Alligator mississippiensis: one gene and its partners. The protein of the gene in region 2 purifies or fractionates together with the protein of the main gene of each other region. This does not show direct contact. Links are inferred from orthologs where the notes say so. Each region holds a gene or a part of one and is shown on either strand. Other genes may lie near its edges. The genes, in order: POLR3E, POLR3H, CRCP and POLR3C.

The links.
Region 1: the proteins of POLR3H (region 2) and POLR3E purify together in Homo sapiens (affinity purification with mass spectrometry; 9 studies listed by BioGRID and IntAct, counting the BioPlex papers as one, with this or other methods). This does not show direct contact. The link is inferred for Alligator mississippiensis from reciprocal best matches to the Homo sapiens genes POLR3H and POLR3E.
Region 3: the proteins of POLR3H (region 2) and CRCP purify together in Homo sapiens (affinity purification with mass spectrometry; 4 studies listed by BioGRID and IntAct, with this or other methods). This does not show direct contact. The link is inferred for Alligator mississippiensis from reciprocal best matches to the Homo sapiens genes POLR3H and CRCP.
Region 4: the proteins of POLR3H (region 2) and POLR3C purify together in Homo sapiens (affinity purification with mass spectrometry; 5 studies listed by BioGRID and IntAct, with this or other methods). This does not show direct contact. The link is inferred for Alligator mississippiensis from reciprocal best matches to the Homo sapiens genes POLR3H and POLR3C.

The regions. Positions count from the first base shown.
Region 1 is NC_081836.1:46,616,352-46,623,642, forward strand, and holds the start of POLR3E (DNA-directed RNA polymerase III subunit RPC5), read left to right. Parts: upstream 1-4,271; 5' UTR 4,272-4,379; intron 4,380-7,086; 5' UTR 7,087-7,126; coding exon 7,127-7,162; intron 7,163-7,291. UniProt on the Homo sapiens protein: DNA-dependent RNA polymerase catalyzes the transcription of DNA into RNA using the four ribonucleoside triphosphates as substrates.
Region 2 is NC_081827.1:97,178,187-97,186,156, forward strand, and holds the start of POLR3H (DNA-directed RNA polymerase III subunit RPC8), read left to right. Parts: upstream 1-4,946; 5' UTR 4,947-5,048; intron 5,049-5,347; exon of another isoform or gene 5,348-5,955; intron 5,956-6,246; 5' UTR 6,247-6,269; coding exon 6,270-6,380; intron 6,381-7,970.
Region 3 is NC_081837.1:10,088,356-10,095,677, reverse strand, and holds the start of CRCP (DNA-directed RNA polymerase III subunit RPC9), read left to right. Parts: upstream 1-4,287; 5' UTR 4,288-4,898; coding exon 4,899-5,101; intron 5,102-6,303; coding exon 6,304-6,340; intron 6,341-7,322. UniProt on the Homo sapiens protein: DNA-dependent RNA polymerase catalyzes the transcription of DNA into RNA using the four ribonucleoside triphosphates as substrates.
Region 4 is NC_081838.1:17,696,221-17,704,263, forward strand, and holds the start of POLR3C (DNA-directed RNA polymerase III subunit RPC3), read right to left. Parts: upstream 3,035-8,043; 5' UTR 2,811-3,034; intron 2,610-2,810; 5' UTR 2,463-2,609; coding exon 2,316-2,462; intron 1,621-2,315; coding exon 1,365-1,620; intron 340-1,364; coding exon 154-339; intron 28-153; coding exon 1-27. Other genes in the region: E3 ubiquitin-protein ligase RNF115, read left to right, coding at 3,287-3,379. UniProt on the Homo sapiens protein: DNA-dependent RNA polymerase catalyzes the transcription of DNA into RNA using the four ribonucleoside triphosphates as substrates.

The DNA of each region.
Region 1 (7,291 bases), on a different chromosome or scaffold from region 2:
TCCCATGACGAAGGCACCTAAAGTAATAGGGTTCTTTTGCTATAAAATCCCATGTCTGTGTGGGACTGGATGTTTGTGACATGGTAGGCCTGATGGTCTGAACATGTCTGTCTGCTGCCTTAAAAATGTAGGATGTCCTTGGGAAGATGCTTATGTGCTTCCCTCCCAGGAGTTCCTGCTGCCTCCATTGCTTGACAGATGCCAAGATGCATTTCCTCAGCTTTCCCCACATTCTCTCTGGAGGGCTTTTTCTGTTTCCTCCTGGCCATCAGCCTTGCTGCTACTGTTGAAAATGTCCTACTCAAGGCTACTGTGCTCAAGGACACTGATAAAAGAAGATAAGGATCCTGTATTTACAGCAGTAGCAGGAAAGGAAATGTGACTGCATTATCTGGGCTGGGGAGAATGTCCTGGGGAAGAAATGTGTGTACTGGGAGGAAAAAGAGGAGAAAATGCAGCACTTTCCAGAGCTCCCTTTCCTGACTGCTGCTCTGGCCTTAGCATCAGCTGTGCTGGCAGTTGAATAGTGGGTGTCTGAGGAGAGGTTGTGGGGGTTTTAGTATCTCTGCCTTATCCTCACAGAAGGAGTATCCTCCTCTTTGATGCAGGGTGTGATGGTTTCCTCCTTGAGTTCCCTTTGAAAATTGTCCTTTGAAATGCTCACTTCCAGGAGCAGGTCTAGGGGCATGGAGCACCATGAAAAAGGGATGCATCGTGGGTGTCACTTGGCAGGACGACTCAAGCTATTTGCTTGCTGAAGGGCCTTGGCCTTGGCCCAGAAATCCTCCTTGTAGCCCTTTGCTTCCACGCCCTCCACATTTGCCCTGTATACAGTGTGGTTCCCCAGGAGCAGGGCTTGGACAGGCCCTTCTCCCACAGGCTGAGGAAATCCAGCACCTCCTTCCTATGCCAGGCAGGAGCACAGGGTTTGGATCTGTGTTTGTCCTTTATAGCAGCTTTACATGGCATGTTTGCCTGCTTGCATGTGCATGCTACCAGGGGCTGAGTATGTCCCAAAATTGCAGGATTTAGAGGGAGGAATTTAGACACTGGAATTGCTTTGGGATAGCTGCTAGACCTGGCACAAGAAAAGGACTGTCCACACATACTTCCTGTCAACTGCCACTGGTATTTGGGGAAGCTGACAGAAATCTGTGACTTCGTTACCATTTAGGCACTTTGAGCACAGATGTGCACACTGTTACTGAGAGAAGTGTTGACCAGGCTGAAACTGGTGCTTGCTGTACTCTTTCCAGCAGGAGTCAGTGGTGCCTGCTAGTGGCACTTCCAGAAGATGATGGGCTGTGCTCTGACCAGGGAGTTAACAAAGCATGACCCTGCTTCTGGGCAATAGAGGAAGGCAGTGGAGTACAGACAGGCTGGAAGGAACAGGACAGGGGATTGTGGGACTGATGATAGAGGAAGACTTCCTGCGCACAGCTATGCTGCAACCAGAGTTCAGAGGTGGGTAGCACCTGTGGGGTACAGCCTGTGAAGCCATAGATTATGGACTCATCTTGCACTCACCCTGGGATGCAGGTGTATTGGTGACTGGGTGAATCAGTCATGGGACAGGCATGGGCACAGGCCCAAGCTCACAGTGAAGTTCAATGTAAACACACACATGATCATGTGGCCAGGGGAGTTGACCTAACACCTGCTCTTCCAAGAAGCCCTATGGATCATTAGTGATCACTCAATCTGGGTCTCAGCTGAACATCCTTTCCAAGGGACGAAGTGCTCTTAATCCCCAGTTGCCCTTCCCAGGGGTAGATCGATTTTCCATCATCCTCTGCGAGGATCACAATGGGTACATCTACGTGTGCGCTTTAATGCGCAGTAGCCTATTTTACTGCACATTAAAGCAGGGCATAAAAAACTCTGCTATTATGCTAATGCATAGTAAAATAGGCATTATGCGCTTGTGTGAAAAGTGCAAATAATCTGGGAGCAATTCGCTTTAAAGTAAACTCCTGGGTATGCGGCTACACATGCAGGGATGCAGAAGCAGATCCTAACAGCAGACTGCTCCCACACCCTGTGGCCCTGCACTGGGCCTCTGCAACGGCCAGGGGGAGCTCTAGGCCCCCACTCCCCATCCTGAAGTGGAAGCTGGCAGCTCCAGCTGTCAGGGAGCTCCCCAATAAGGATCTCCCGGTCCCCACTCCCAGGCAGGCAGTACATAATAAGTAAGTAAGTAATCTTGACTGTTTGCTACTTGCATTTGCAGGTAGCAAATATACTAGTGATTAGAGCAAATTACTGTTCAATAAGCATCTGCACATGTAGATGGTGACACATGCAGTAATTAGCTCCTAATCTTAAGTGAAGGTGTCCAGTGTTACCTAAAACACATGCATTTGTGCTACTGCACATTAGAGCAGCCTAATGTGCTTTAATTGAGTACCTCACATTGAAGGGTGCCTGTACACGAGCCTGGAGGCCGCTTCAGTGCGTTGTAAGTAATTGACTCTGCTGGAACGTGGCAATGACTGTGTTCCAGCAGCCTCCCACATCTTGCGTATTGTGTCCCCTCGCTTCAAAATGGCAACAGGGGAGCGTGAACTAAAGCTTGTTAAACGGGCTTTAGTTCAAATGCCCCTGCTGCCATTTTGAAGTTCAGGGACACTGATACAGAAGCTGCTATGGCACTTTAATTAGAGCGTGAGCTGCTCTAATTCAAGCTCCCCACCCCGCAGAGCATGTGTAAAAGTGCCCCAAGGTGCTAAATTTAATGCGCATTAGGAAAAGTGCAGTATTGTATGCATAGGTGACTCATAAGGAGGTATGGGGGGGGCACATGCCCCCCCTGAGATTGGCTTCCACTTGCCACCCTCCCCGCTGCCACCACCGCAGCTTCTGCGGGCAGTCGCCACTTGCTGCTGCTGCCACTGGTGACTTCTGCAGCCGGCCACCAATTGCTGCTTGTCGCTGCTGGCTTCTGTGGGCAGTCACCCATCGCCGCTCGCTACAACCCCCACCCCTGCTGCTGACTTCTGCGGGTAGTTGCCACTCGCCACCCTGCGGCTGACACTGCCGCCTACAAATTGTGCCCCCCCAGTCTCAGAAGGCACCAGTCCTTCATGAATGTACATATAGGTGCGCCCAGCTTTAGGCAGCCCACACTGCTATTATTGAGTCTGGGATACTGGCAACAGAAATTGGCCTATCGTGCTGAAAGCCCAACTCCACCATGGCAGGAAGTACAAGTATGAGGGGCCTTGGGGGCATGAAATGCCAGAGCTGGAGACTTTTCAGAACAGCGCCCCCGAACAGCAGCTGGGTCCTTGTGGCAGACAAGTGACGGGAAGGTTTGGCTCCCAGTGGCTTCTGCCCAGCGCCCTTGAGAAACGCCAGAAGTTACTCCCCCTTTGGCATGGGTGACTGGTGCCTCCTGAATCTGGGGGGGCACCTGCAGAAGCTGCCGACCCTGTCAGGGAGGGCACCGGCCCTACCGACAGCATCAGTGTTGGCCCTTGAGGGGGGCACATGCACCCCCTATCAGTCACCTCTGCCCTTCGCGTGCGCGTGTGGTCTGTGCACTGCCTCCAGGAGACTTTCTGGCCCTCTACCCATGGGCATGAGCCTGCCCCTCCCTATGCCCCACATCCAAGTGTAGCCAGTGGTGCGCACTCCCTGCGCCTCAGTTTCCCCCAGCTGCAGAAGCGCTGGCAAGAAAGAAAGGACAGAGCCAAGGAGCCCTTGCATGTGAGCAGCACCCCAGGTAGCACACCCTGTTTCCCTTGAGTGTTGGTCCTGGGGGGCCCCCGGCTCTGCTCTGCCCCGTGCACAGAGGTGGGTCTCCAGCTGCCGCGGCAGAGCGCGGGTAGAGGCGCCGCGGACGAAATGCAACAAGGCCCAGGCTGAAGTTAGCAAAACTCGGGATCACAGCACAGCCTGGGGGCTGCAAGGGGACGGAGGCAGCAGGGGCACCGGGGAAACCCGGACAAGCTCAGGCTCTCTCAGCACAAGGGGAAATGCGGACAAACGCCGGTGGGGCAAAGCCTTGGCCACGCTGGCTCTAGAAGATAACACAGAGATAAGTGGGCCGCAGCAGACAGCCCCATCATCTGGGTAGCGTGGCCGAGCGGTCTAAGGCGCTGGATTAAGGCTCCAGTCTCTTCGGGGGCGTGGGTTCGAATCCCACCGCTGCCAGAACATTTTGTCCCTGCGCTCTTTCCCGGCCGCTCCGCAGCGCCGCCTGCCGGCCCGGCCCGGCCCGGCCCGGCCCGGCCCGCCGCCCGCAGCATTGTGGGTAAAAGGAGGTCCGGCCGGGCCTCCCACGTGTCTGCCGGAGTGGGAGCAACATGGCCGCCGCCTGAGAGCGCCCCGGAGCCGCACCGCGCTGAGGGGCCACCGGCGCCCGCCGCTCCCCGCAGGTAGGGATAGGCAGGGCCGGCCGCCGGGGCCCGGGGCGGGGCCGCGCCGCAGGATGGAGATCAGGCCCGGCTGACAGCGCCGGGCCGGGGTCCGCCGGATCCAGGCAGCGCTGGGCGGGGGTCGGGAGCCTGTCCCTGACTGCGGGGCTGGTCCCGCTTTTGGGACGCTTATTTCCCCCTGCAAAAAAATAAACATAAAAGCAGGGCCCTCGCCCCGCCAGTGCCCTGGGAAAGTGCTGCGGGGAGATGGAGGCCTCGGTGCCTGCCTGGCAGCCGGCTCCCTGGCTCAGGCACTGCTGCATCCTGGCTCACAGCAAGCCACCTCCGTCCTCCCAGCAGCATTTCTGCCTCCGACCCTCGTTTTGCCCCCTGCCCTCCCACCCTGCCTGGCATCAGGGTGCCGCGAGAAAGTAGGTTCTCCAGTTACCAAAAATGAAATTAAAAAAAGGTTTTGGCAGCAGGGAGTGGCAGGGTGCAGGCCGCCCCACCTGGGCCACAGGCCACATGGTGCCTGCTTTCCCTGACTCACTGACCAGGTGTCCTGGGGTGTGGCGGGGTTGTTTTCACCCCTAACGTGGTCACTAGCAGGGAGTGAGCGGAAGGGCCCGAGGGATTGTGCACGCCGCTACACAAATGCCGAGGCACTGAAAAGAGGTGCTTGCTTGATGAGGGACCTCCTTAAATCCCTGTAGCAGGGTCTGCCGGGCAGAAGTTACAGCACCCTGTGATGGGAGCCTTGCTGCACAACAAATCCCTGTAAGCTCCTTGGTCATTAGCAGGAAGTCCTCTTCCAAACCTGTTCATGGACAGGCCTGGTAAAGAGCCTGGTAAACATCATGTGGAATTGCCTTTCAGGGGCTTATGGAAAGCCTTTTAGCAGGCCCCGAGTTGCCGGATGCTAGCCAAGCCTGAGTTAAACAGGAGCAGCACCGGTATTTAGATGTGAAGCTCTTGAGGCAAACCTGGACGCTGCAGGAAATGATGCCAGTAACTCAGAAGGTGGCAGTCTCCCTTCGGTCCTGGGAAGGAGCCAGTGGATCAGTGGGACAGCGGTTCTCGGCCTTTTAGTACTGTGACACATGGCACTGGGAAATGTTTTGGGTTTCTCCCTATGTGTCCAGGGACTTCAGGAACATCTCCATGTACCCACAAAAGCAGAAATGTGTTACAGTCTCGGTGTTGCAGGGGACACTGTGCTGTTGGAGATGCTGTTTTTCAGAGAGACATAAAACAGGAGTCTTTGTTTTCTGATTGCTCAAGATCCCGAGGCTCACTTTTTGGGATACCCTAATATCCTGGCTCTGGTCATCTTTTTGGGTAGCTGGATTATATCTCTGTAAATGCTACCTGCAATTTCTGTTGGATATGATTTTTTTTTCACCTGTTCTAAAGTAGCTCGTGTTGCTGTCTGCATGTGTGTATCAGTGTCACATGTTCTCTCAGTTTAATTGACCAATAATGATTGGCACTTCTAGCCCCTTTTATGAATCCAAAACTGATATAAGACGACTTTGTGCTATCTATTCAGTTACAAATCAAGCATATTTATTTATATATCTCAATTTTTTTCTGTTATTCTTCTACTGTTCATGTATTTCTTTCTTCCTTTACTATATTTCTGTTGAAAAGGTTTCATACAGTTCTGTTTTTGTGTCTTTGAAATCCTTGAGTTTAGTTTAGCTTTCTTCACTATGGAAAGTTGCTTTTATGAATGTTATAAAACTGGTTTTGGTAACGATGCTTCCTCCCTATATGCTTCCTGCCTGTATTAGAAGTACTTCTAGTCATCTTTTAAAGGAATTGGAAAATTACTGGCACTTCTAATAACCAAGGGGTAGACACACAAAGGAACATCATGTAAAATACAGAACCAGTCCTTAGAGCAGGGACCAGAATGAGGGCCTTCTCCCGGCCCAGCAGTGGTCACACCAACACGCTACAGTCCTTCTGACTCTGGTTCAGTGAATCGTTAACTTTTTTCTAGAGAGTGGAACAGTTTTAAAAGGAGGGCTTGAGTGCAGCCTTTCATCAGTGTCCTGTAGCCTGGTAGTTAGGAAATGACAAGTACAAATCCCTCCGGGAATGGAGAGAATTTAACCTTGGTTTCCCACACCCTGGGAGAGGGTGTCCCACAACCACTAGGCTGAATCAAGCTCACTGCTTCCTGTTTCTTACAGCCCTGATCTCAGCAGTTGATACTGTATTTCCCTTGGCACTGTATAGCACGTAGTAAGGAACAGTCCTTGCCTTAAACAGTTTGTAGTTTAACTAGACCAGGCAGACAAAGAGTGCCTGCTTCCCCTGTTGTGAAGGGCAGAGTGAATTGACCAGGGCAGTGGAAGAGTTTGGGCTACAATCCAGTGTTTCTGAATCCTAGGCTAGGGTCCTTGTTATGGCAGTGCAAATCGTGCAATTGGATGGGGCCTTGAGCTGGTCGGAGCATTATGGTTATGGTGAACAGTAGAGACTGGCCAGAAACTATACAAGGCCACCCAAGTTAAGTGCCACAGCCATGCACCAGGCTGCTTCTCCTGTGATGCTTCTGCAGTTAACCACGCCTGTCACAACTCAGACATCTCTGGACTAAGTCCACAGCCAAGGTTCTGCTTTCCCCTGGATGGCAGCCCGTGAATACTCCTGTTCAGTAAGGGCCAGGGAACTAACTTTCACAGCCCAGGCTTGATGTGGTATTTTTCTTCTCTTTCAGATTGTGCTAGAGAGCCCAAGACAGCTTTTACCATTCTAGCATGGCAAATGAAGAAGATGACCCAATTATACAAGAGGTAGATATACACTGGACAACTGTGTACCTTTCCTCATATTTAGGTTTCTTAGCTTTTGGCTCTCCTGAAAGAATATCACTGAGCTGAGTTGCTGTCTGATGGTCAGTAAACAATAGCATACAAAAGATA
Region 2 (7,970 bases):
TTGAGATGCATTAACCAAAATGTGAGGAGCTCAGGACTGGAATAGCAGGAGATGCTTAGTATTGAATTACTGAAGTATTCTGCTGGTGGAAGCTTGCCAACATGGCCCCACTACGATTATTTCTAGCTACAGTGCTAGCCTATGATTGTGTTCAGCCCTCCATTAGAAAAACAAACCCAAAACATGCCAAGCACATAAGCTTATAAAGAAAAAGAAACAAGGATAGGAATAATACAAGAGATGCCATCATGCCAACCACAAAACTCATAACGAAAGAAATATATTTGGTTAATAAGGGCAAGAAACATTCTTAACTTTGCTCCCCAAGACAGTACAGTTTCTAATAACTCAGTATCAACTCGTTACTGTCTTGGTGCTTGCCAGTGGAAGGAATTAGAATTTGCATCAAAGTGATTGTGCTGACAGTGCGGTTTTGACTGCCAGTCACTGAGCTGTTTGGTTTTTCCTTAAAGCTTTTTGTATATACTTCAAACGTTTTCTTTTCATATTTTTGTCAAGTTTCAGGCATTAGCAAAAACCCTTGTCTTTCACATGTTCTAAGATGCTCTGTTTGCTGCAGAATCCTTCCACTGTTGTAAAATTATGGAGTAGAAACTTTAGGGTCAGATTCTCAGCTGGCATTAATTGTCACTGTGCGGGCTGGGAGCGGTCTGAGGCCCTTGGGGGTTTTTCGCGCGGCGGGCTGTGGCCAGCAGCCCGGACACGCCGGGTCGGGGAAGGCAGGCAGCACGCTAGAATTAGGCACGGACGCTTAGTGGTTGATTTAAGATTATTTTACTTACACCGAAGATGGTCGCGGTGCAGGCAGGAAAACTTGCTTGAGTTGCAGTTACAAAACAAAACAAAACAAAACTCAAACCTGCAGGGCACGAGAGTACGTCGCAGGGGGTTTTCGGTGACGGGAAGATGCAAAACACGAGAGTACGTCGCAATGGGTTTTTGGTGACGGGAAAATAAACCTGCAGGACTTGAACCCAGACAGAGTTCTGGATACACTCACACGAAGTTTGCTAGGCTCCGTGGAACTTGCACGCAGGGAAGGGTACGTCGAGGGATCAGGCGGCGACGGGGAGAGGCCAGAGGTTGATCAGACCCCTATAGCCTTCTTGAAATACACACTGGGTCTGATAGGCTCCGCAGCACTTAGAGATCTTCACAAGATGCAAAGTTCTCCTCCTCCAGATGGTTGTGGAGTCCTCCATCTTGGGCAGAAACCGCTCAAGCCTCTTATACGGCTAGCAAGCCAATCGCTAGCCGCCACGTGGGAATAATTTAGAACTGGCCAATAGTGGGACACAAATTTGCATGCGAATGGCGGGAACTCCTTGCACCGTGCATTTCTCTTTTGCAACCTAGAAATGCACCCTGCAAAGAAAGCTACGAGTGGCGGGAAATAATTCAGCAGTGCCAAAGCACACACAAACAAAAATCACACCTTTGGGTTGTGACAGTCACAACTCCATCTATGCCTGTTAATACATTGTTTAGTAGCCAGTCCTATGTTTCAAGCCATTTTATTGTGGGAAAAAATCTTCCATACATGATTTAAATACAAATAGATGCAGCTTCCGTAGCCTCCCATCTCCTCCCCTCCCCCTGAGTTTGCAAACAGCCTGAAACAACAGCTCTCAAAGAGATGTGGACTGTTATCTCCACAGTAATGTTAGCCAGCCTAACAATGATCACTTTTACTTAGTTTAGTGCATCATTTTAGCAGAAATCTTCAGCTAACACACTTGTTAATCATCTGTGGATAAAATGGCAGACACTAAGCAGGGGAGAGTGGGGAGGTAGGTGACTTAGTTTTTGGAGTTGGGGAACTTGTGGCCCTTCCAGTGTTTCAAGTCAACAATGTTAAACACCTTTAGTGTTTCAAGTCACAAAGAGAAGGGGAAAAGGAGATTCAGCCTTTAACCAATATGAAATGCCTCCCACTGCCTCTTGTGCATGAAGTACAAACTGACTCTCACACCTTTTCAGATACCAAATTTCCACTGCTGCTTTTGTAACACCTCTATCTTCTCCCCTGAGAACTACTCTACAAAACACTGGGGCGCATGAACATTTGGCACAGTGTAAATAAAATAAGCTGAATATAATGGTGCAAATTAAGTTAAATCAGATGTAACTAAATGGCTCAAAGCCTTAAAAGAGTGGAGACATCACTGTGGATGCCTCCTGATAATCAGGGTGAAGAGAAGCCCAGAGCTGCCTGAGAAGTCCAGATGGGCAGAGGTCCCAAGAGGGAAAAGAGCAGTCAGCAGGTATCTGGTGTTGAGCAAGGGAAGGTGACTGATTGGACAGGCCTCCTCAACTGTTTGGGGTATTTAAAAAAACCAAGTTGAGTCTTGAAGTTGGGGCTAATAAAATGCTTTTAAGTGTGTCTGAGAATGAAGGGACAAGTGAACTGTATCAAATGTGGCTAGTGGCTCTCTTTAACTGAATGGTTTGGAGTGGCTAGGTAAAAGGTGCCCTAGGCAAGAGCGAGTGAGGAAGCAGCTGAGGATTGCATCCCTGAGCATGACGAGGAAAAGGACTCCCTGGCATTCTCTATACCACTGATTCTTCTCTGAAGACCTGAGATGTTGCAGAGCCTGCTTTGAGGTGGCGTGAAGAGCTGAGATGACAATGCTAAGGTAGCTTCAGGGCAGTGAACAGAGCTGAGATGACAGTGTAGAGGCAGCTTAGAGTATCATGACAGTGTAGAGTATCATATGAGCAGCAGCTTAGTTGAGGGACTCCAACGAGGATCTACCCAGCACCAGAGTTGTGATCCTTCAGTTGGGGTGGATACCAAAGTCTTCAGAACGGCATTCTTCTTATCAACAAGAGATGTACCTGCTCAGATTTTGGACTTTTCCAAGCCTGGACAGTGCACAGTGAGTGGAGTACAAAAAGGGCAAGAGAGCAGTGGTTATCTCACCAGCTACTGACAACTATGGGAGGAGGGCTGGATTTCTGACTTACTGAGGTACTTGGAGGTGGTAGCTTCACTTGATACCATTGCTGCATTCACTTGGCTTCTCCAGATACATACCACACTTCCCTCCCCCTCCCCGCCATAAAAGCTGTATTTGTGTTAAAACCTCAGTCATTCCTCACAAGTGAGGAACTATTGTTCATCCTGAGCACAATTTTATTTTCCAGGTTTTTTTTTCAGGGGGGAGGGAGGGAGGAAGAAACAAGTGCTAAGGCTCGTGGTGTTTGTGAGTAGGAATCCTTACATAATTTAATCTCCTTTTACTGCCAAGCTGCATGTGGCAGAAGGACTACAGTAGCAAAATAAATCATAAAGAGGGGCAGCACGCTGTTGCTATGATTTACTTTCACATTTAATTAATTGAAAACCTTGACACCATCTGAAGCTGCCAGAGAATTCATCTCCACAGACAGCAAAGGAGGGGAGAGTTTGGAGCTGACAGATGACCGGCAGCTGGAGAGAAGCACATCACGTCTCACATGCAGGGTGATTAACCTGAGGGAACTCCACATTTCTAACACTAATCTGGCTCTTTAGGAAGACAGCCACAAGCAAGAGATGCTGCAAGTGCAGCTCGCATCCAAGTCGTGTGCAGGCAGCTTGACAGCCCCAAGTCTCCACCCAACACTTTCCTCTTGGCACTGCCAGTCACACAGATGGTGACGCATTCTGGCAGTCGCTGCAGTAATTGCCAAGCAATGTCTATGTCTTTCTCCTGCGGGTCAGGGTGTTTTTAAGCCTATTCAGAGGCACTGGGTGTTGGTTACAGCCAAGGCTGGGGACTTCATCTGTGGTGTCAGTGCTCCTTCTGGGAGCAAAGCTGGAGGTTCCTGGCCAGAGGGTCTTGCCCTTCCGCTCAGGGTCAGACCAATCACCATACTGGGCTCAGGAAGGGATTTCACCTCATGAGCAAATTGGTTTGGACTGTGGTGGGGGGTTGCCTTCCTCTGTAGTGGGGCCTGTGGCCCTTACCCGGGATGTCTGGAACATGTAATAACATTTCACAGAAGCAGGACATTGGCTGCTATGTCAGGTCAGGGCATTAGGTCTGTGTTGCATCAGGGGTGATGAGTCTTACGGAGAGTTTAGATTATGGTTTGTATGGGATGATGTGGATAGGGATGATCCTACCTCAGGTAGGGGGCTGGATTAGTGTTCAACCTTTTTCCATTTGCAGCTAGCTAAAAGATGTTGAATGGAGGTGCAGACCCCTTTGAAGTATTGATATTCATATACTTTTGATTGTACTTAAATTCACGGATGCCTGAGCCACAGTCAGTGGACCCCCAGGGGTCTGCAGACCACAGGCTGAAAACCACTGGCCTAGATGATGCCTGGAGGTCCCTTCCAGTCCTACTTTTTCTGACTCCCCATTGCCCTCAGATCTCTTCCATCGGTTTAAGACCAGTGGCTCTTGACCTTTGTTAAATGCAAGGTAACCTTTCCTTAGACGGGAGGCAGCCCTTGGGAGATGCCATTTCTGGCCTTTGCCTTGTTTTTCTGACTTTGGAAAAATAGTAGTGCAAGTGCGCTGGTGCCGAGCCCGCAGCACGGCAGGAGGGTCTGGACCCTCTGGGCTCCTGTTGGAAATCTGGGAGGCTTGTGGCTCGGGTGCCTGGTGTCCGCAGCCCCCACTAGAGGTCATGCTGTCTGCACCCTTGCACGGGTCCGAGCACCCCGGGGCACCCGGCCGCCCCGCTAAACCACGGCCGGCTTAGACCAAGCTCTGGCAGGGCCTGGGGGCGCCTGCGTGTCTGTCCAGAGCCGGGCGCGGGGGTTAGGGGGCGCGCGCAGCACAGCCTCTGGTCTCCATGGTGACAACAGAACGCGGACCGCAGGCCCTGCTTGAAATGGAAGGCGGGGAGGGCCCGGGGGCGGGGCCTACGCGAGGGAGGAGAGAGCCCTCCGTTCACTTGGTCATGTGACCTAGACTCTACGTGTCAATCAATCCCCCATAGGACCTTCCCCGGAGGGTGATTGGCTCCCGCACCGGAAGCGGCTGAGGAGCCCAGGAGAGCAACTTGCTGCAGCTCCGCACGCGCTGCCGGTAAGATGCGTAGCAAGAGGGTCGGGCCTGTGGTCCCGTTGCGTTCCGTCTTGCACCGCGGCGCCAGAGGGGCCGCTCCCGGCCCCTTTCTGTGGTTGTGTGGAGCTGCTGTGTCCACGCGGCCTCCCGCCGGCCTCTCTCCTCCACCCCGCGTGGGGCCGGGCGCGTGCGACGGGCGGGGCTTCTCCCTGCCCCTGAGCGGCGCCTGCCGGGAGCACGGCGGGCCCCACCCTCTGCGTCAGCTGCGACGTAGGGTTGTGTTGCTCCTCGCCTGCTCCTCTCCCATCTGCTGCTCTGCTCTGCTCTGCTCCGCTCCCCGCCTTGCGCCTCCTGCTTGATCTGCTCTGCTCCCTGCCCCATTCTTCCTGCCTTGTTTGCTGCTCTGCTTTCTGATCCCTGTCATACGCTCTGCTCTCTGCCAGATCCACTGCTCTGCTTTCTGCTCTGCCTGCCACTGTGCTGCTGGACGGACACCCCTTCCTGATGTGCTGCGTGCCCCACACAGAGGCTGCACCTGCCACTTATTGCGTGCACAGGTTGCCCCTCCCCTCCCCACCTTAGTGCATGCCACTTATTTCCTCCTCATGAATGGTTCTCTTGTGCCCGTGGCCTGTGCGGTTTCCTACCCAGGACACCCAGATCCATGTTGTCAGCAGGCAGTGCCAGATCTGGATGTAGCAGCCAGTGCTGTAGTATGCCGTTGCTTAGGAACCCAGAAAAGGGTGCAGTAAGCTGCCACTGTGATTTGGGCTTGTAGAAGTTGACCTCAGTAAGGGTGGTGCCCTGCTCCTTTCATCTTGTTACCCATGTTGTGAGGCCCATTGCAAGGCCCTACCTGCACATAAAGAAAAGATGATTTCTGCCTAATGAGCTCACCTTGATAAGGGACTGAACTTGAGTCTTGAAAGTAAGCATCTCTTCTGGGTACTAAAAGAAAGCTACTGTTTGAGGTGTCTTGGGCAGGGCCTCCTGCCAAGTGATTCTGGCAGATGGTCCTGCTTTGTAGTTGAGCTGCTTGAGTTTGTATGCTGACTTGACAGGGTTTTAATACTTCAAGAGGGTAAAGGGTTTACAGTGCAGGGGCTGCATGTGTTTCCAGATCCTCCCCCCACCCATTTTGAGGTGTGAAATGATCTTAGGCATCCTCTAATCAGAAAGAGCCTTTCCAGGCTCATTGGTCTTCATGGTCTGTCCCCAGGGACACTGTTGCTGCCTGCCACCATGTTTGTCCTAGTGGAGATGACTGATACAGTGCGGATTCCTCCCTGGCAGTTTGAAAGAAAACTCAATGACTCCATCGCAGAGGAGCTGAACAAGAAGTTAGCCAATAAGGTAAAGCTTTGAGCATACGATGTATGACCCAGAGTTCCTGGAAGCCGTGGATGACTATTAGAAATAAAGTTTCAGCATGACTTTAGACATGAGGATCTTCACAGAGACTGAAGTGCTTGAGGCACCATAAACAGGGGCAGCAGTTTAAGATCTCGACAGATTGGAAAGCTGCAAGTGAAAGGTGCATTGACAAGTGCAAGGTGCTACACCTCAGGAAGAATAATAAACAATACAAAATGGGTGATACCTGACTGGATGGCAGCACTGTGGAGAAGGATCTGGGAGTCTTGGTAGATTACAGACTCAATATGAGTGTGCAGCGTGACACAGCTGCACATAAAGCAGATTTGGTTTTGGGATGCATTAATATAAGTATTAGGTGTAAGTCACAGGAGGCGATAGTATCTCTGTCCTTAGCACTGGTTAGGCCTTGTCTAGTGTATTGTAAACAGTTTTGGGTTCTATATTTTAAAAAGGATGTGGAGAAGTTAAAGAGGGACCAGAGGTAGGAGACAAGAACAATAAAGGGCTTGGAAGACCAATCATACGAGGAACGGCTGAAGGAGCTAGGCACATTCAGCTTGTAGAAGAGGTGCTTAAGAGGGGTGTAATACCAGTCTACAAATACTTGAAAGGCTGCCATAAAGAAGAGGGAAAACACCTTTTCTCTCATGCAGAGAGGAGAGCACAGACCAGTGGCTTTAAGTTGCAGCAAAGTAGGTTTAAGCTGGATATCTGGAAAAATATCACAGAACAGTGAGACAATGGAATAGACACCTAGGAAGTTGTGGACTCTCCACTAGAGCTGTTCAAGAACTTGGACAGCCACTAGTTGGGAATGATCTTGGCATAGCTATGCCTATGTTTTGTTATGGGTATTTCCTGTCCTGGCTTTGCAGGTTGCTGCATGAGACTGAGGCAGAAGTCCCTCCCCTCACCTCACCTCCCCTGCTGTGTGTCAGGGTTTTTCAGGATTTTGTTTGTTTGTTTGTTTTTTAAGTCTTCCTCAGAGGCATTGGGTGTTGGATGCAGCCAGGGCTGGGGATTTTGACTGGGCCATGCCAGCACTCTTGCTCTGAGTTAAAGTGAGAGATTACTGGCTAGAGGGTCTTGCCCCTCTGCTTATGTTCAGACCAATTGCTATATTTGGGGTCAGAAGGGAATTTAACCTCATGATCAGTTCGGTATTCTGTAGCAGGGGGCATGGCCCTCTTCCTGGAATCTCTTGAGCATGTATTAACTATCTTTAAAGAAGCAGGAAGTTGGCTGCTGTGGTCCCCCACTTTATCTGTGGCAAGTTAGGGTGTTGTGTCTTGTGCTGTGTCAGGGTTGACGGTAGTTTTGCCAAGAGGTTAGACAGTGGATTGAATGGGGTGGTTTGGAGAGGGATGATCCTGCCCCAGGCACGAGGTTGGACTAGATGACTTCTGAAGGTCCCTTCTCGCTCTACTTGTCTATGATTCTGTGGCTCTGATCTTATTTAATATATTCTTTAATGCTATAGAACAAACTGGTGAGGAATTCTTATATAATAAAGGGGTTAGTCCCTCTGTCTGTCTGTAACGCTCTTGGAGCACTCCAGTTGGTTAG
Region 3 (7,322 bases), on a different chromosome or scaffold from region 2:
AATCACAATCCTATGCTTGAAATGTTTATACGTTGCACATTTAGAAAATTCCATGTCTGCATTCCCTATGGATACTCGAATGTACACATCCCAAGCCGCTGAGTCCAATCAGAAGTACAGAAATTAAAAACCGAGATACCTGGGCTAATCACTACTTTTGCATCTTCTCTTTGGAAAGTAGTTTGTGTGGAGCACAGTGATAATTTTGGTTGTGCATGAACTCCAGAGCCCAGTGGCTGAAGTGCATAGCAGGGCTCAGGAACGAAGCCCTAGGAAAGATATCAAATAAGATGCAGATAATTACCTGGTGTTGGAAGACAGAAATGAGATGCTAAGCATAAAAAAGCAGGTGCACGTGGTATCGTATAGCACCCGGCAGAGCTGTCGCAGGACTTTGCTCTGCTGGTTTTGGCCATATTGTGCCAGGGTCAGTAAATCACATGAACAAACAAAGGCGACTCTAGCTCTCTCTGGAGTCTGTCTGTTGATCTGGGTGTTTGTTCATTGCTGTCACTGTGCAACGACTGTGGTGGTTCCAGGGGTATGACCGTGGTGGTTCATATTTCAGTCCTTTCATTGATGAAAGAGGCTGACTCTTCTAGAGAAGATACCATTTTGGGTCACCTCCCTGGGTCATTAGGGCTCGATGGCTATTTGCTGGATCCCAAGTAATAGCATGGCCCTAAACTCAGAGGACACAAGGAGTTTCTTGTATTGCGCAGGCCTGTCCTATGGTCACGGGCAAGGCCGTTGTTTTGCGTGCTGTATCCAAAGCAATTCTCAGCTGTGTCCGGAGAAGAGCGGAGCTCGCTTTCTCTGGGTTGAAACGGGGTTGATGCAAACTGTAATACAATATATTGAGGTTATAACCAGTGGGAGGGCGGTGAAGAAGGTGGAATATTGGTGTGTCAGCTGATGAGACCCATAAAAGCACTTTAGGAAGAAATGCCTGATGGCACCCAGGAGAGGATTTCCTATAAGGTATCATGTTGTTCACACAGGTGATGGCGACATGCTGTGCGTGCAAGGCCCGGAGTTCATTTTCTGGACGGACAAAAATGATTTGATTCACTCTTCCCCTTTTATTATCACAGCCGAAGCTGGCTGGGACACACACAACTCAAACTGGTGAATTCTGGGGTGTTTCTGCCTGTGCCAAGCCTTGTGCCAGCAGTGGGCCTTTCTTTTTGTGGGCAGGTGAAACCTCTCCCTTCACCGTCAGGAGAAAGGGCAAGAAGCAACCAAAGCAGCGGGCGCGCCTGCACATCACCCTATGGCGACATAGTGACGCATGGCACGCTACGGCGACGTATCGCTAGCTACGTCGCAGTAGTGGCGCGCTCCCCGCTTACGGTGCCCTGCTCTGGAGACACAGCGAGAAAATTTAAACACGTGGTGCCCATTTGGCACCGTCCAGGCGGTTACCACACCATGTTTTAGTACTTCCAAAAGCACAGCGCAGTCACACCGTTCCCGTATGGCGATGTGTAGATGCACCTAGTGTAGGGCAAAGCTGCAGAGACCCACAACCAAAGTGTTCGGTGCAGGGCAGACCCACAACCAGGACAGGGCACACCTGCATGGACCCACAATTGGTGCAGGGCAGACTTGCATGGACCCCAAAGCAGGGCAGGGCAGGGCACACCTGCATGGACCCACAATTGGTGCAGGGCAGACTTTCATGGACCCCAAAGCAGGGCAGGGCACACCTGCATGGACCCACAATTGGTGCAGGGCACACCTGCATGGACCCACAAGCAGGGTGCTGCAGGGCAGACCCGAAGGGACCCACAATTAGTGCAGGGCAGCCCGTGCAGGGCGTTGCGGCGCGGGAGGAGCGAGCGGGGCAGCCGCACCGCGTGCGTCCGCATTGGTGGTTCAGTGGTAGAATTCTCGCCTGCCACGCGGGAGGCCCGGGTTCGATTCCCGGCCAATGCAAGTGTAACCTTTTTTTGCCGCTTCCGACGTTCTTTTTCCCGGCGGCCCCCGCGCTGCGCTGCGCTGCGCTGCGCTTCGCCCCGCCCCGCCCCGCCCCGCCCCCTCGTCCTTCTCCTTGCCCCCGGGACGCAGCACGGGCGCCATGGACGTGTAAGGGCCGCGCGGGGGGAAGAGGCCGCGGGTGCGGGGAGAGGACTGGGAGAGTCGTGGTTTGTTTTCTCCCAGAGCAAAAATGTCCCCGGGTGGGGAGTGATTCACCCCCGGGCCGTTCCCCCTCCCAAAAACGCTATTTTCTTAACCCCGGGGAGAAAAGGCCTGGCCGTGCGCATGCTCCTGGCCGCGCAGTAGATTTGCAAGCGTGGGCCGCGCAGATGGCAACATGAAGGCCTCTGAAGAAACCCCGGGCGTCTCCGAGCCTCGCTTGACGGCGGTGACACGGGGGGGGACCAGGGGCGACGGCCACTTACTGAGTTTTGGACATTGGGGAAAATTTTCTCACTAGGAGGGCGGTGAAGCGCCGCAGCAGGTCACCCGGACGTGGGGGAGGCTGCATTCTTGGAGGTTTTTAAGGCCTGGATAGAGGGGGAGGAGGATGAGCTGTTTGGTTTAGAAATGGATCATTTTTGTTTAATTTCCTATAGGAGCGTACCATGGCAATTGTATTCTAAAGTATATCTTAAAAGAGTGGCTCTTATGGACTAAGATGAGACGAATCTGTAGTACATGAGGATGATCTTAGTAATTTAGGTTAAAAAAATACTTTTTTTTCCCAAAGGAATCTAAAATATATTTACGGAAGAGGTTTCAAATTAAGTCATTTTTTTTTTTCCTTTTCCATGTACAGGTTACTCCTAAGTGCGCTATGTAGATAACTGATGTAAAATCCCCAAATTAGAATTGCTATAAAAATAAACTGCATGCTGATATATTGCATGCATACTTTTTGGTTGTTCAGACGTTCATACGACGGTGCAGACTGACATAAAAACTGAAGTCTGTTTCTGCTTTGCCAATTTTTTTTGTAATGATACAAATCAACCTGAATAAGCACGCTGGCCATAATGTTTGCTATATTATTTCATTTAAAATCCTCGTAGCTTGACAAAGTACTGAACAGCAAGAGGACTTTGTAGCTATAATAAATTTGTATCTCCCCATACCCTTAGCAATAATCAATCCCGCTAGTAAAAACTTAATTTTTTAAGTAACAGCTTGACAACTGGATGGGTTTCTGTTTGCTGTTAATTGGTACAAAAGAAGTTTAAGTGCTTGTGGTCCCAAAAGGTTTACCATTTTAAAAACAAACCCACGCTTGATTTAAACAGTATAAAATCGCAGTTAAACGAACTGCTGATTCATTCTGTGCTTGCCTGTTGAATATACAGTCCAGGATCTTCTCAGTTTTTTTAATGGAAAGAATCTGTATGTAATTCTTCCATGGCGCTATTATTTCCAGAAACAAAGAACATCCTCCGTGCATAGGGATTTCTGCGGAGATAGGCTGAATGCAGATTTCAAAGAATTGTGTTTACCTAAGAACAAAACTACAAAAGCTATATGGCTTGTAAAACATGAATGGAAACTGATGCGTGTGTGAGCTCACTTGCTGAAGTTTCACTAGAATCAGCTAATTGGAATTTTAAGTTCATCTCAGCGTATTTTACAAGGTCCCTTTCATTTAAAAACAATGATAGAACCTGTGGACGTTTGGAAGGCATTCACATGTTTGACTGTGATGAATGTGACAGTGCTATTCAGAGAGTTGATGGTGCTTGACAATGCATTTTGCTTTTTTTTATGTGCTGTCGCAGACCTGAGAAAAGCCCTTTTTTTTCCCCTTTGTATGGTAACTGTCTGGTGACTCAGCAGAATGCATTGTTCTCAGGATATATGGCTAGCTCCTCGCTGCTTGTCCTACAGAAGTTGTATTTACTTGAAAATATGAAATTACAATATTTTCTAGTCTAATTAATGGGAGCATGCTCAATTCAGAAATACACTTTACTCAGATTGTTCGATCCAGCAATAATATGTAAGAGCGATTCTTGCATAATTGGATCAGCCCCGGGACTGTGGGGAGCAGCCCAGGCTGTGGCATGTGCGGCTGGTCCTGCTGCCCCCAGGGTGCAAAGCAGGCTAGGGGCAGCTCCTTCTGACTGCCACTGCCACTGGACCCAGCCTCACTGCCAGGAGTCCCACCCATGTGGGCAGGGTGGGCGGCCAGGTGGAGGGGATGGGGCTGGGGAGCGGTGTCCAGGAGCAGCGCGGGTGGGGAAGGCCAGGGCCAGGCTGGAGCCAGGATCACAGGGCAGTAAAAGGGCCTGGGGCAGAGCCTTGATCCGCTGCCCACGCATCCCTGCAGTGGGCACTGTTTCCGCAGGCAGAGGTGTGTGGGGAGCAGATTGCAGTTCTGCATCAGTTCCTGGCCTCACACTATCACTGCCCCAAGATCCTGGATCCGGCTCCTCTTGCATGTCCAGCTCCTGGATGCTGCTCCCCACCCACCTGCGGCCCCATCCCATCCACCTGGCCACACTACCTGCCCAGGATTGTGGGGCAGTGGCAGTGCAGGGCTGGGGCCCAGGGCAGAGCTGCGATCTGCTCCCCCCAGGCCCCTGCCCGCAGAACCAGCACCCATTGCAGGGGTGTGTGGGGAGCAGATCATTGCTCTGTCCATATTGTCACATCCCCCCCGGTTCCAGCCCTGGACCTGCCCACCTGTCCTGCTCATGGATGCCGCTTTCTGCCTGCCCCGCAGCTCTATCTCAGCTGCTGGCTCATCATGGAGTCACTTAGGGAGCTTTGGTGAGCTGTTGATGGTGGGGGTGATTGCTGACCTGGCCCACAACAGCTCACCAAAACTCTGTAAGCGGCCCTCCAGCCCAAATAATGCCCACCCATGCTATAGAGTATGTGTGTGTGCATAGTTACAGATACATATATAGACCTCACTTACCTGTATGTGTGTTTGTATACATTATCTATTGTGGCAGGGCACTGTGTGCGCCTGCCACTTTAAGGGCCTGGAGCTGGCAGCCACCAGGTGCCTGACGAGGGCAGCCATTTTAGAGGCAAGGGCTGCCTATATAAACAGGGCAGTTTGGCTGCTGGAGGCCAGGCAGCAACATCGCCTGGCTGGAGAGCTGCCGAAAACAACCTGGAGGTAAGGGAGGAGCTGAAGGGGATGGTAAGGAGGCTCCTGGTCCTGGGCATGACCTCAAACTGCCCCCTGCCGGGAGTGGGTGGCCTGGTGGGGCTCTCAGTGGCGCGGGAGCCCCCAGGAAATGCCAGGCCGGTTACCACCCCGGTGAAAGGCAGGTCGGGGCGCCTTAACCCCTTGCCCCCACCAGCGGGGGGGTAACCCCAGTGTTTGTAAAGGGCCTAGAGGGCGGACCCTGGGAGAAAGTGAGGGGCTTGAGACCCGACCCGGACGAGGGAGTCCCCTCGACTGGCCCATGCTGGGGCCAGGACCAGGAGGGTCTAAAGGGCGAGGGATGCCCAAGAGCCAGGGGCCTGGGGTCCCGACTGGCCTGGAGGTGGGCCAGGGCTAGTGGCCGAAGGTCCCGGGGGGACCACACCCGAGAGGGGAAAATGGCTTTGTGGGGGGCTAGGTAGCCCAGATGAAGGCGGAGAGGCCGCCTGATCAGAGGGATCGGGGAGGGGTCCTGTTTGGAAGATTCAGGGGCCCAGCGTGGGGGCCGGTGAGGAGATGAACACCTAGATGCCATCTGCGAGGCTTGGGCTGCGGTATTGGGGAGGATAGGAGCCACAGAGAGCACCCCCTGGCATTGGGGCACTAAAATGGGTAGCTTCCCGCTTATGTGACATCTATTAATGAATCAATTAACGCCAAGGCGTGGCAGGTGAGATAGCGGGCGGTTGGCCCAAGGACAGGTGGGCAGGCCATGGAGATCGGCCCTGAGGAAGCCCCCTGTTACATCTCAATATCTGTATCTACCCACTCGGTAGATTTCTGTTATTGTTTTGTGCGTCACTTTATCCAGACAAAACTTTAAGGAGCAAGGAATAACTGAATGGGCTGTTAATTGAAATGGTAGTAGGCTGTCCCAATTCAGAGGATTTTGCTGAGCAAGTTAAACACTACTTTGTGGATCAATTGAGCCAAATATTCTTGTCTAATAGTAATAAGCATAATTAGGTTGTGTAAAATATTCGTGACTGCCATAGGTAGCAACAGCCAGGAACAGTGGAGGAATTAACAAAATTGTGATCCTGAGAATTTTATTGGAAAGAATTCCTGAATTTAACGATTTCTACTTTTTAGTGTTAGTAGAGAGGAAGATGGTGATTTTTAAATTTTTTTTATACAAAATATTCTGAAACATGTTTTATTCCTTTTTCTAGAAAAGATGCCAATGCTGCATTGCTGAGTAACTTTGAGGTAAGTTTACTCGTACCCTAATTTTCAGTAGAGTTTAATGCCGTGATCAGCAGCTTTTTAAGACTGCAGGTCATATTGACACAGTTCAAGTCAGAGGCAGATGGACAAAGGGAGGTCCCATGGCAGGCACAGGAAAAACACACACCACTGCTGCTTCCCCTCGTGCTGGCGTGGGAAGAGTGCCTGCCACGGCCACTTTTCCCTGTACTTGGTCCCACTGCTTTTTTCCTTGCATGGGCACAAGGAAAGCATTCACCTCTGGTGTGGGCAAAGCACTTGCCACAGCCTTTTCTCCCCGCATTGACACAGGAAAAGTGCCTGCTGCTGGCACAGGGAATGCATCTGCTGCTGCTGCTTCCTATGCCAGCACCAGAAAAGTGCCCGCCACTGGCTTAGGGAAAGTGCCCACTACTGCTGCTTTTTCCTATGCTGGCACAGGAAAAGTGATTGCTACTAGAGGTGCACCAATACATGGGTCCCATATCAGATTGGCACCGATATAAGGAAAACTGACTATCAGATATTGGCTTTTTTTGGCTGATGTGGCCAGTAATTCCCCATGCATCCGCCCAGCCGCAGTGCAGCACACAGGCGGCAGGAGCTCAGCCCAGCAGCATGGAAAGCAGCTGGGTCTGGCTGGTAAGTCTGTTGTGAGGAAACGGGCATGGGGACGCAGATCGAGACCCCTGTGGTGAGGGAGGAAGTGGGGCTAGGCAGGGGTTGGGGCAGGTGCTGCACAGCTGGCGTGGAGCGGGGGACAGAGCCACAAGCGACTTGTCCGGAGGGTGCGGGGAGAGGGTGGCAGCTCTCACTGCTGCATGCACCCCAGGGGGGCATGGCAGGTGTGTGCCCCTGGATCTGCGCACAGGGCGAGGACAGGCTGTTGCTGTGGGCTGGGGCCGGGGCTGCGCGGAGCTCTTCCTGGTGGGGGGGCTTGGGCTGGGGCTGCGCTCGGGACAGGCAGCGGTTCTGGGAGAGAGGT
Region 4 (8,043 bases), on a different chromosome or scaffold from region 2:
CACACGATCGCCTCCTCTTCCCCTTCCCTGTAGGCCAAAGACAGAGGTTCCCCTCTGACTCCATCACGCTGAACGTGGATTCCTGTCCAAACTCTCATCATGCCTCCTGCTCCCACCGTGCCCCTGATCAGGGTGGCTCAGCTCATTCCTCACCTATGAGGTTCAGTCTGGGGACGCTGTACATGTCCTTCTCGTCAATGACCAGCGTAGGCGCAGGAGGTGCTGCCGAATCTGATGGCCCAGAAGCATCGGGGACCCCTGGGCACCTCTGCACAAAGTGGGTGTCTGCCAGGCGGACAAAGGTGTTGGAGACTTCAGTGTAGTCCATGGTTTTCCCATCTGGACAGGAGGATCCCAAGGAGAAGGTGAATGTTCGTGATCCTGACTGCCCAGCTGCTAGCACTGTGCCAGCTGGGTTACAACCCCATGCCCTGCCCTTGCTCCTACCAGCCTCAGAGGCCATGGGCTGGGTTTTCAGAGGCAGATGGCGGTTTTGGAAGCCTCTGGTTTTTTAGGGGGTTACTTGAGGTGACCTGATTTTTCAGGGATGCTGAACAGGCTTGTGTCATACACTGGGCACCTGAAGTTTCAAGGTCATGTTTAGAAGTGTTTAGTCTCCTGTTTCCAGCTCAGATACCCCACTCCTGGCAGATTAGATACTGATAAGGCCAGCTACTTAGACATGCATCTATCAGAGAAACCGGCGCAGAGGTGAGGGAAAATCCAAGCACAACCAGAGTGGGTTTCCCATCTCAGCCCACAGCTGAGAAACTCATCTTTAAGACACAAGCTAGGCAGGAAATGCTCCTCCTTCACCTCAGAACTCATATAGGCAAACTGAGACCTGGAGAAGATCTTGATCAAGTCTTTTTCGACTTGATCAAGTCCTCCAGCGAGTCTGCGGCAGCGAAGAAGCCAACTCGGCAGCCTTGAACCTGGTTTCCTGACACAGGGACAAGTTCACATTGGCACGTGTTATACCATCATGTCTGGTGGGAGCATATGCCCGCAAACCAGCTCTGTCTCTGGCATGAGCACTGACTTGCTGTTTATCTTTTGCTGCTCCCCCATCCCTGGAGCTGGCAGCCCAAGCTCTCTCCTGGGGAATCACTGGCGCACTGGTTTTCTACACAGCCCTTCCAAGACACAAAACCCACTGATGCCACCCAGCAGATGTCCATCCATCACTTCCCTATGGTCTGGATTCAACATCCCCCACCCTGGTGCTGAATCCTCTTATTCCCCTGAGCTTGATCCAATCCCACCAGTGGCGAGATATATCCAGGGAGCACCAGCCAGATGAGGTGCCCCAGGGAGCAGTCCCCATCCCGTCTCTCAGCCATGCCAACACCCCCATCACTCACCCTCCATGGTCTCTGTCAGCCTGTCAGCCACCTTCGTGACCACGGCGCTCATGGGCATCTTGCCATTGAGAAGCAGCTCCTCCACAATGAGCTCGCCCGTGTCGCCGTACAGGGTCTTGGCCGTGTAGATGTAGCGCGGGTAGCGCAGGATGCACAGCACTCGGCTGCACTGGACGCTGTACTCCACGAAGCCACGCTTCTGTATCTGGTAGGTGCCCAGGTTGTGCTGGATGAGGACGCACAAGGCTTTCTTCACCTGTGGGAGCCGGAAAGGGACAAGTCACGGACTTGGGAACGCACAGCACCATCGATGGACTAAGAGGAGGGGTGTGTGAAGGGGGGAGGGGTTAGGGTTAGGGTTGGGGGGGGCTGGCTGGCAACTCGAACGATGCAGTATCTGTGCTGTGTTCATGAGCTCTTATCAGCTTGGGATAAAGCTATTAAGCTTTCACCACGGAAGTGAATTCACCCGATGCTGCGAATTCCCAGGGCATCTCAGGCTACCAGAGCTGAGGCAACGTGCGAGGTCCGGGGCAGGGCGCTGCGTTCTGATTCACCGTTAATTGTTAAACAGCTCAGTCTTTCACACCCTTAACCTCCATCCCCTGCTCCAGCTTCGCTCCTTCCTTTCCCAGCTAGATCTCAACGGCACCCCCCACTCGCCCGGCGGCAGGGAGGTAACGTCTGGGATCCGCTCGTTAACACTGGTGGCAAAGACGCCCCTGGACCGCAGCAGGAGCCCGATGAAACCATCTATCCCAATTTTAAAAAAAAATCTGCTTTCAAGTCAGCACCTCCTTTACGCCAATTTGTGTCTCGCACGTAGATTTTAGAAGTGGGGAAACCTTCCGGAGACGGGAACTGACGAGCTGTACGGAGATCGCCCGAGCACAGCCGGCTCCCCTGAGCGTGCGGACGCCGACTCGCCAGCTGGCGCAGCCCGGGACGTACCTGGTCCAGGGAGGTGCCGGTGTCGCTGACAATCGCTCGCAGAGGCTGCCCGCCGGTCCGCACGAGGTACGTGCCTATCTTCTCCACGATCTCTCCAAAATGTTCTTGCAGCAGCAGAGAACAGAGCTTAATTTCCGCCTGCGTCATCCCGCCGGCAAACCGCACACCTGCGTCGAGTCGGGTCCGAACGTCCGCGGTTTCGTCACGAGGGATGCAACGGGTCGGCGCTGCCGGGCGGATGCGGAGATGCCGGTTTCTCTTGCGGTGTCCAGTCCGGACTCGAGGCGGCTCACGCTTTGTGCCAGAAATGGATTTGATGGGTTCACATCTGCAGCTGTATCAAACCGCCCCTCCCCCCACCCCCACTCCCACTCCCACTCGGGAAACTGAGGCTAGAGACGGGCCCCTCCCCCTCCAAGGGAAACTGAGGCTGAAGACGATGAGCTGAGGCCCGGGGGGGGGAGGGGGTGTCCCGACGCCTGGGTTGCATCTCACCTGGGGGAGGGGAGGGGAGGGGGTCGAATTTTTTTAGGCCCCGACAGCAACCATAGCAACCCCGTGGCTTTCAGCTTCCAGTTCAACAAGGATCACTTCCGCTCGCTTCTTTGGTGTGGCCGCTCTAGCTACCTCTCGTTGGTGGCGCTGGAGGACCCCAGGGGGCGCTCTCTCCCTCTCCCGTTGCGTCTAACGTCGCCCAGCGCATTGAGGACTCTCGGGTGGCGCTCTGGCTTTCCCCTCGTCTCTGTGGCTGCTGGGAGGACTGGAACGCGGAAGTAGCGAGGAACCGCTCTACCCTCCCGCCTCGCTGCTCAAGCGGAAGGCTCCGTTTTCCCGCAGCGGAGCAGAAGAGACTGGGGAGTAAGCTGCGGGCTAGAGCGGCCCCGCCGCCGTTCTATCCGGCCCGCCCGTAGTCTCGCTGCTCCTCCCGGAGGACTGACGGCAGGCAGGGAGCCGGGGGAGGGGGAGAGAAAATGGCGGAGGCCTCGGCAGCGGCGGCGGCCGCCGTGTCCCAGCATCGCTTCTTCTGCCACAGCTGCAAGGGGGAGGTCAACCCCAAGCTGCCGGTAAGAGGGACGCGGGCTTCCGGGTTGGGGGGCTGCATCCCGCCCCCCCCGCTGTAAGGGGCGGAGGGAGGGTCAAACCTCAGCGCCCCCCTCCGGGGGGGAGGGGCGACCCCCTCAGGGGACTGGAGCCGGAGCCCCCTCATTGGGGGAGGGGCAAATACAGAAGCCCCCAGTTGGGGAGGGGTTGTTGCCCTTCCTCCCGAGTGGGGGCTTCACCCCACTTGCCCCCCCCTCGATTTGGGGCTGGGGGGGGTGATCCCTTCCCCCAGTGGGTGAGAAGGTGACCCCAGCTACCCTCCCCGGGGGGGGTGAACCCCAGCATTGCCCCTGAGGGGGTCTAACCCCCCCAAGCACCTCCTGGAGGGGAAATGCCCCCTCGGGGGGAGGAGGGGCAATGCAGGGGATCAGCCCCCCCCCAGGGGTAGCCCCTCCCCCCGGAAGTGACGGCGCATCCCATTGGCCCATGGGACCTCCCCATGGGGGGGGTTGGACCCCCCCAGCCCCCTTGACAGTGGGGGAAAGCCCCACTCCTCAGAGGGACCTTCCCCGGGTGGGGGGAGCGGAGAAGTCCCCCCGGCTGCCTCAAAAGCCTTGTTGGGGGCAGAGCGTGAGGGAGGGTGCGTCTCCCTGCCCCGGGGAGCGAGGGGGTCGCCTGGCAGAGCCCCAGCCCCGGCTGCCTCCTTGGCATCTCCCCCAGTGCCGGGCAGGGGGGCTGCAGGCTCCGCTCGGCCACATGCCCAAGGTAGCAGGCAGGTTTGTTTGCAGTCGAGCGTCTCCGGGCATCCTTGTTTTGCTTGTCCTGTCACCCGAGGTGTCGTCGGGCGTGGGGGGGGCAGCCGAAGGAGCCTGAACCAGATCAGGTGCCGCTTCTTCTGTGTCCTGTGGGGATGGTCCCCTCCCCTTCATGCCTCAGTTTCCCCAGGTCTGAAAGCGAGAGACCCCTTGCCTCATTGCTGAGCGGGAGCGTGGCCAGGAGATCCTCGGCAGCTGGGGCAAGATCACAGCCCCCTGGATCTTGAGGTCCCTCCGTGCTCTCTGGCTCTGAGGAAGTTGTGGGTAGGGGGTGGCATGAGCTGGGCAGATCCAGGGCGTCCCCCTGGCCCATGGAGGAGCAGAGCAGGTCCTGTGCTGCTGCTGGTCCTCTCCTTGCCAGGGATGGAGGTGGCAAGGTGCCTGATTTCACGCAGTGTAGCAGCCTGGCATGACATGACTGCCCTGCCCCTGCCTGATGTATGCTCAGGTATCAGTGTTCCTGCAGCCCCGGCACGGCTCGTCCTTGTCCAGGAGAAGCCCAAGGTGCTACATCTCAGCATCCTGGCCCGCTGTCCTTGCAGCTAAGAGCCCAGCCTTCTGGCATGGTCTCTTCGCTCCCTGCTCCTGAATTCCCCGTCGTTTTGCCTCTGCCAACTTGGATAGGCCCCCCACGCTCTTCCAGCTCTCCTTTGTTAGAGAGAAACGCTGCCCTGAATCGTTCGCAGCCCGTTCCCTTCCGTAGCCGGGACTCAGGATTTCCTGATGGCCAAAGCACGTTTTGTTTGCAGCCTCTGGGCCCGGCTGTCTGAGCGGCACATAACAGTGGGGCTGGGCAACGTGCTCTTTCCAGCGTCTTTGCATCATGTCTTTCCTCTCTTGCTGGGACTCCAGTGCCTGTTTTCAGTCTCCTCACTCGGGGACTGAAATCCCTTCTTGAAGGCCCAGGCAGGGCTTTGCTTGGCTGCCTTTGCAAAAGAGAGTGGTTTGCCTGCCTTGCTTGGTTTTTCTTAAAACTTTTCTTAAAACCCAGAGCAACGTCACAGCCTTGGCTTTGAATTCACTTTCGCTGCTGTCACTGGGTGATGAGCTGTGTTCTTGACGTGCTGCACTCCACCCCAGAGGTGGCTGCATTTCAGCAGCGCTAAGCATAATCCTATCTTTGCGGGTGCTTCAGAAGTGGCAAATATTTCCCAGGCTTTATAAATACTTTCTTCAGGGCTGGAACCAACCAAGCCAAACCCATCAATCTTGCTGCTTTTTCTTTCCTGCACAGGGTGGCAACACCTTTCTCTGCCCTTGATCCCTGGTAGGAAATGGCTTGAGTTAGGGGATGGCTCTTTTCTTCCAGGCTGTTTGAGTGGTGGGAGAATATGGCTCCTTCCTGCTCTCAGTAGCCAGCGTCATTTGGAAGCACGATTGGGACCAGACTCTGGAACCACTTCTTCTGGAGCCTGTGTGTTCGTGATCTCTGGCCAAGGCTCAGCCAGGAGCGTCAGACTAGGTGAGGACAATGCCTGCGTTCGGATCACTGCTCTAAAGCTGATCCCCTCTCTGACCTTGGGCAAAGCACTCTTTCTATGTGCCTCAGTTTCCCCATTGTTCAACCGTGACAGTTGCTGGGTTCAGCTGGGGTGTGTGGGTAAGGGGGGGCTGCTGTTTTCAGTGCCCTTGATTAGGGCCTCCTTTCAAATCTGCATTGGCCCAGGTCTCTGCCAGGCGTGTCTGTCTGGAGGTAGTGTGAACCAGCGATTACAGCTGAGAACCAGGACTCCTGGCTTCTCATCCCAGCTCGGCCCCTGACTTATCTCTGACGTCAGGCAAGTCACTTCCCCTCTCTGTGCTAATTTCCTCTCTGCAAAGCTGGGAGCTTTTCTTGACAGCACTCTGGCAGGCGTTATCAGATGAGGGTAATGCCAGCTGAACGGAGCGAGGGAGTCTGGCAGTTGATTTGTAAAACCTGGAGGAGATTTTTTTACACCGGGGGTTATCTAAGCAGAGTATCAGTCTCTCCTTGGAGAAGATGCAGATGTATGGATCCACCATCTCTTGAAGCCAGTGCCTGACTTCCATCAGGGTTTATTGATGGTGATGGGACCTGGCTGCCTCCCCCACACTGTCAGATCTCAGTGGGCTGCTGCAGAGCTGCCAGAGATCCTGAGTCAGGAACCAATGCTGTGATCCACCCAGAATGGACAACAGCGGGTTATATTAGTATGTCATCCTTCTCCCCCGGTCCTCTCCCTGCCACACACCACCAGGGGATCTCTGCAGGGCAGGGCAACCCTTGCCACAAGCCATGTTCTGGCCTGTCCACTTCCCAGGCTACACCAATCCACACGTGGCCAATGGGTTCTGCAGTGATAGACATAGGAAACAGTTAATGAGGAGTGGGGATCTTGGAAGTTATGTTGGCTGGAAGCCAGCCCCATATATTTGTGTGTGTGTGGTGGGGGATAGCGGGGTGACCATGTTCCTCATCACCCATTTGGGGTGGCTACAGTGCTGCTGGTGCATGTCCTGTGGCTCTGCCTCCCTTTCAAAATAAGAGGAGGACAAGCGGCCTGACGTCTGACTGCGCGTGGGGGATTGGAGAGGCTTTCTTGTGGTGGGGACCCTCAGCGAGGCAAATGTCTGCTGCCTGCTTTGGTTGTTCTTTAAAGACATTCCCCTCCTTCCTCCCAGCCCAAAAGGGCCCAGTGATCCTGGACACGGCCCCATCCCCCTCTGCCGGCTCTGCTGTGATCCTGGCTGATCCTTGCTATTAAAGATCTTGCTGTTCATTTTGTTGAGGAGAGATCCTTGTGCCTGGCCTCCTGGCTCTCCTCCAGCCACAAGGCGAAAATGGCTCTTGCAGTTGCATTGGAAGGGGGGGGGGGTGTATCGGGGGCACATTGTTTCCTTATAATATTTCCTTGCTCGTCAAAAACACTTGCAGACCCTTGTACGTGTGAGACTATCCCCGCCGCTCCGCTGCTCAGTTCAGCTGTCTGCCACCCAGCAGCTACTGCCTGTCGCCTCGGGCCTTGGCTGCGTCTCGAGATGGATTAAATGATCCCTGCATGCCGGTTCTCGTGGTGTTGGCGGTGCATTCGGTGCCAGGCAGCTCAGCCACGAGGATGGTATAAAACAAGGGTGGGCAACTTACAGTGTGGATACCACTGTTAGGCTGTGTGCAGGGAGTGTGGCAGATGAGGCAGGGAACATGCAGCACAGGGTAGGGAACAGAAAGCAGAGCAGCAGGTCGGGAAGGGGACCAGAGTGGCACTCGGGGAGGGTACGGGGATAATTTGTGGCACACCTGCCAAAAAGATTGTCCTCTGTCAGTATAAAGAACCCATCTTGACTGTACTGGCGATGCAGCCAAGACAGGATTACAACACAGCTGTGCCTCTTCATTGGGACGTTTACAGTCGAGAGATCTCTAAGACCCTGTTTTTGCTCAGGGTACAGGCCTGTTTTCATTGGTAAAATCCTAATGAAGATGAGGCAATTGCTACCATATTTTCTCATGTACCATGTGCAGCCCCGTCTCCCACACACACCTGAAAATTAAGGTGCATGTTTTAGGCAGGGAAGCTATTGTCTTCACTGTAAAAGAAATCTGGAGACTCGGCAGCTGCCAAGATGGCAGGGTCCTTTGTTAGCCTTTTCACAGCCATAGCTGTTGGGTGAGTGCTGTAGCTTCTGGAAGCAGCAAGTAAGCTGCCAGTAGTATCTTGATGAGATTTGTGATGTGGAAACGAGACTGTTTTCAGGAACTTATGACTTACAGTAGTCCCACCGCTGCCCTTGCCAGTGTCTCGGGCCTACCTTTGCGTGACATAGGGTAAATCCTCCTGGGAAGCATGGCATCCTTAGAAACAGTGTGGGTGAGGCAGCTGGCACTAGGAACTTCCTGGTGCCACGCTTCC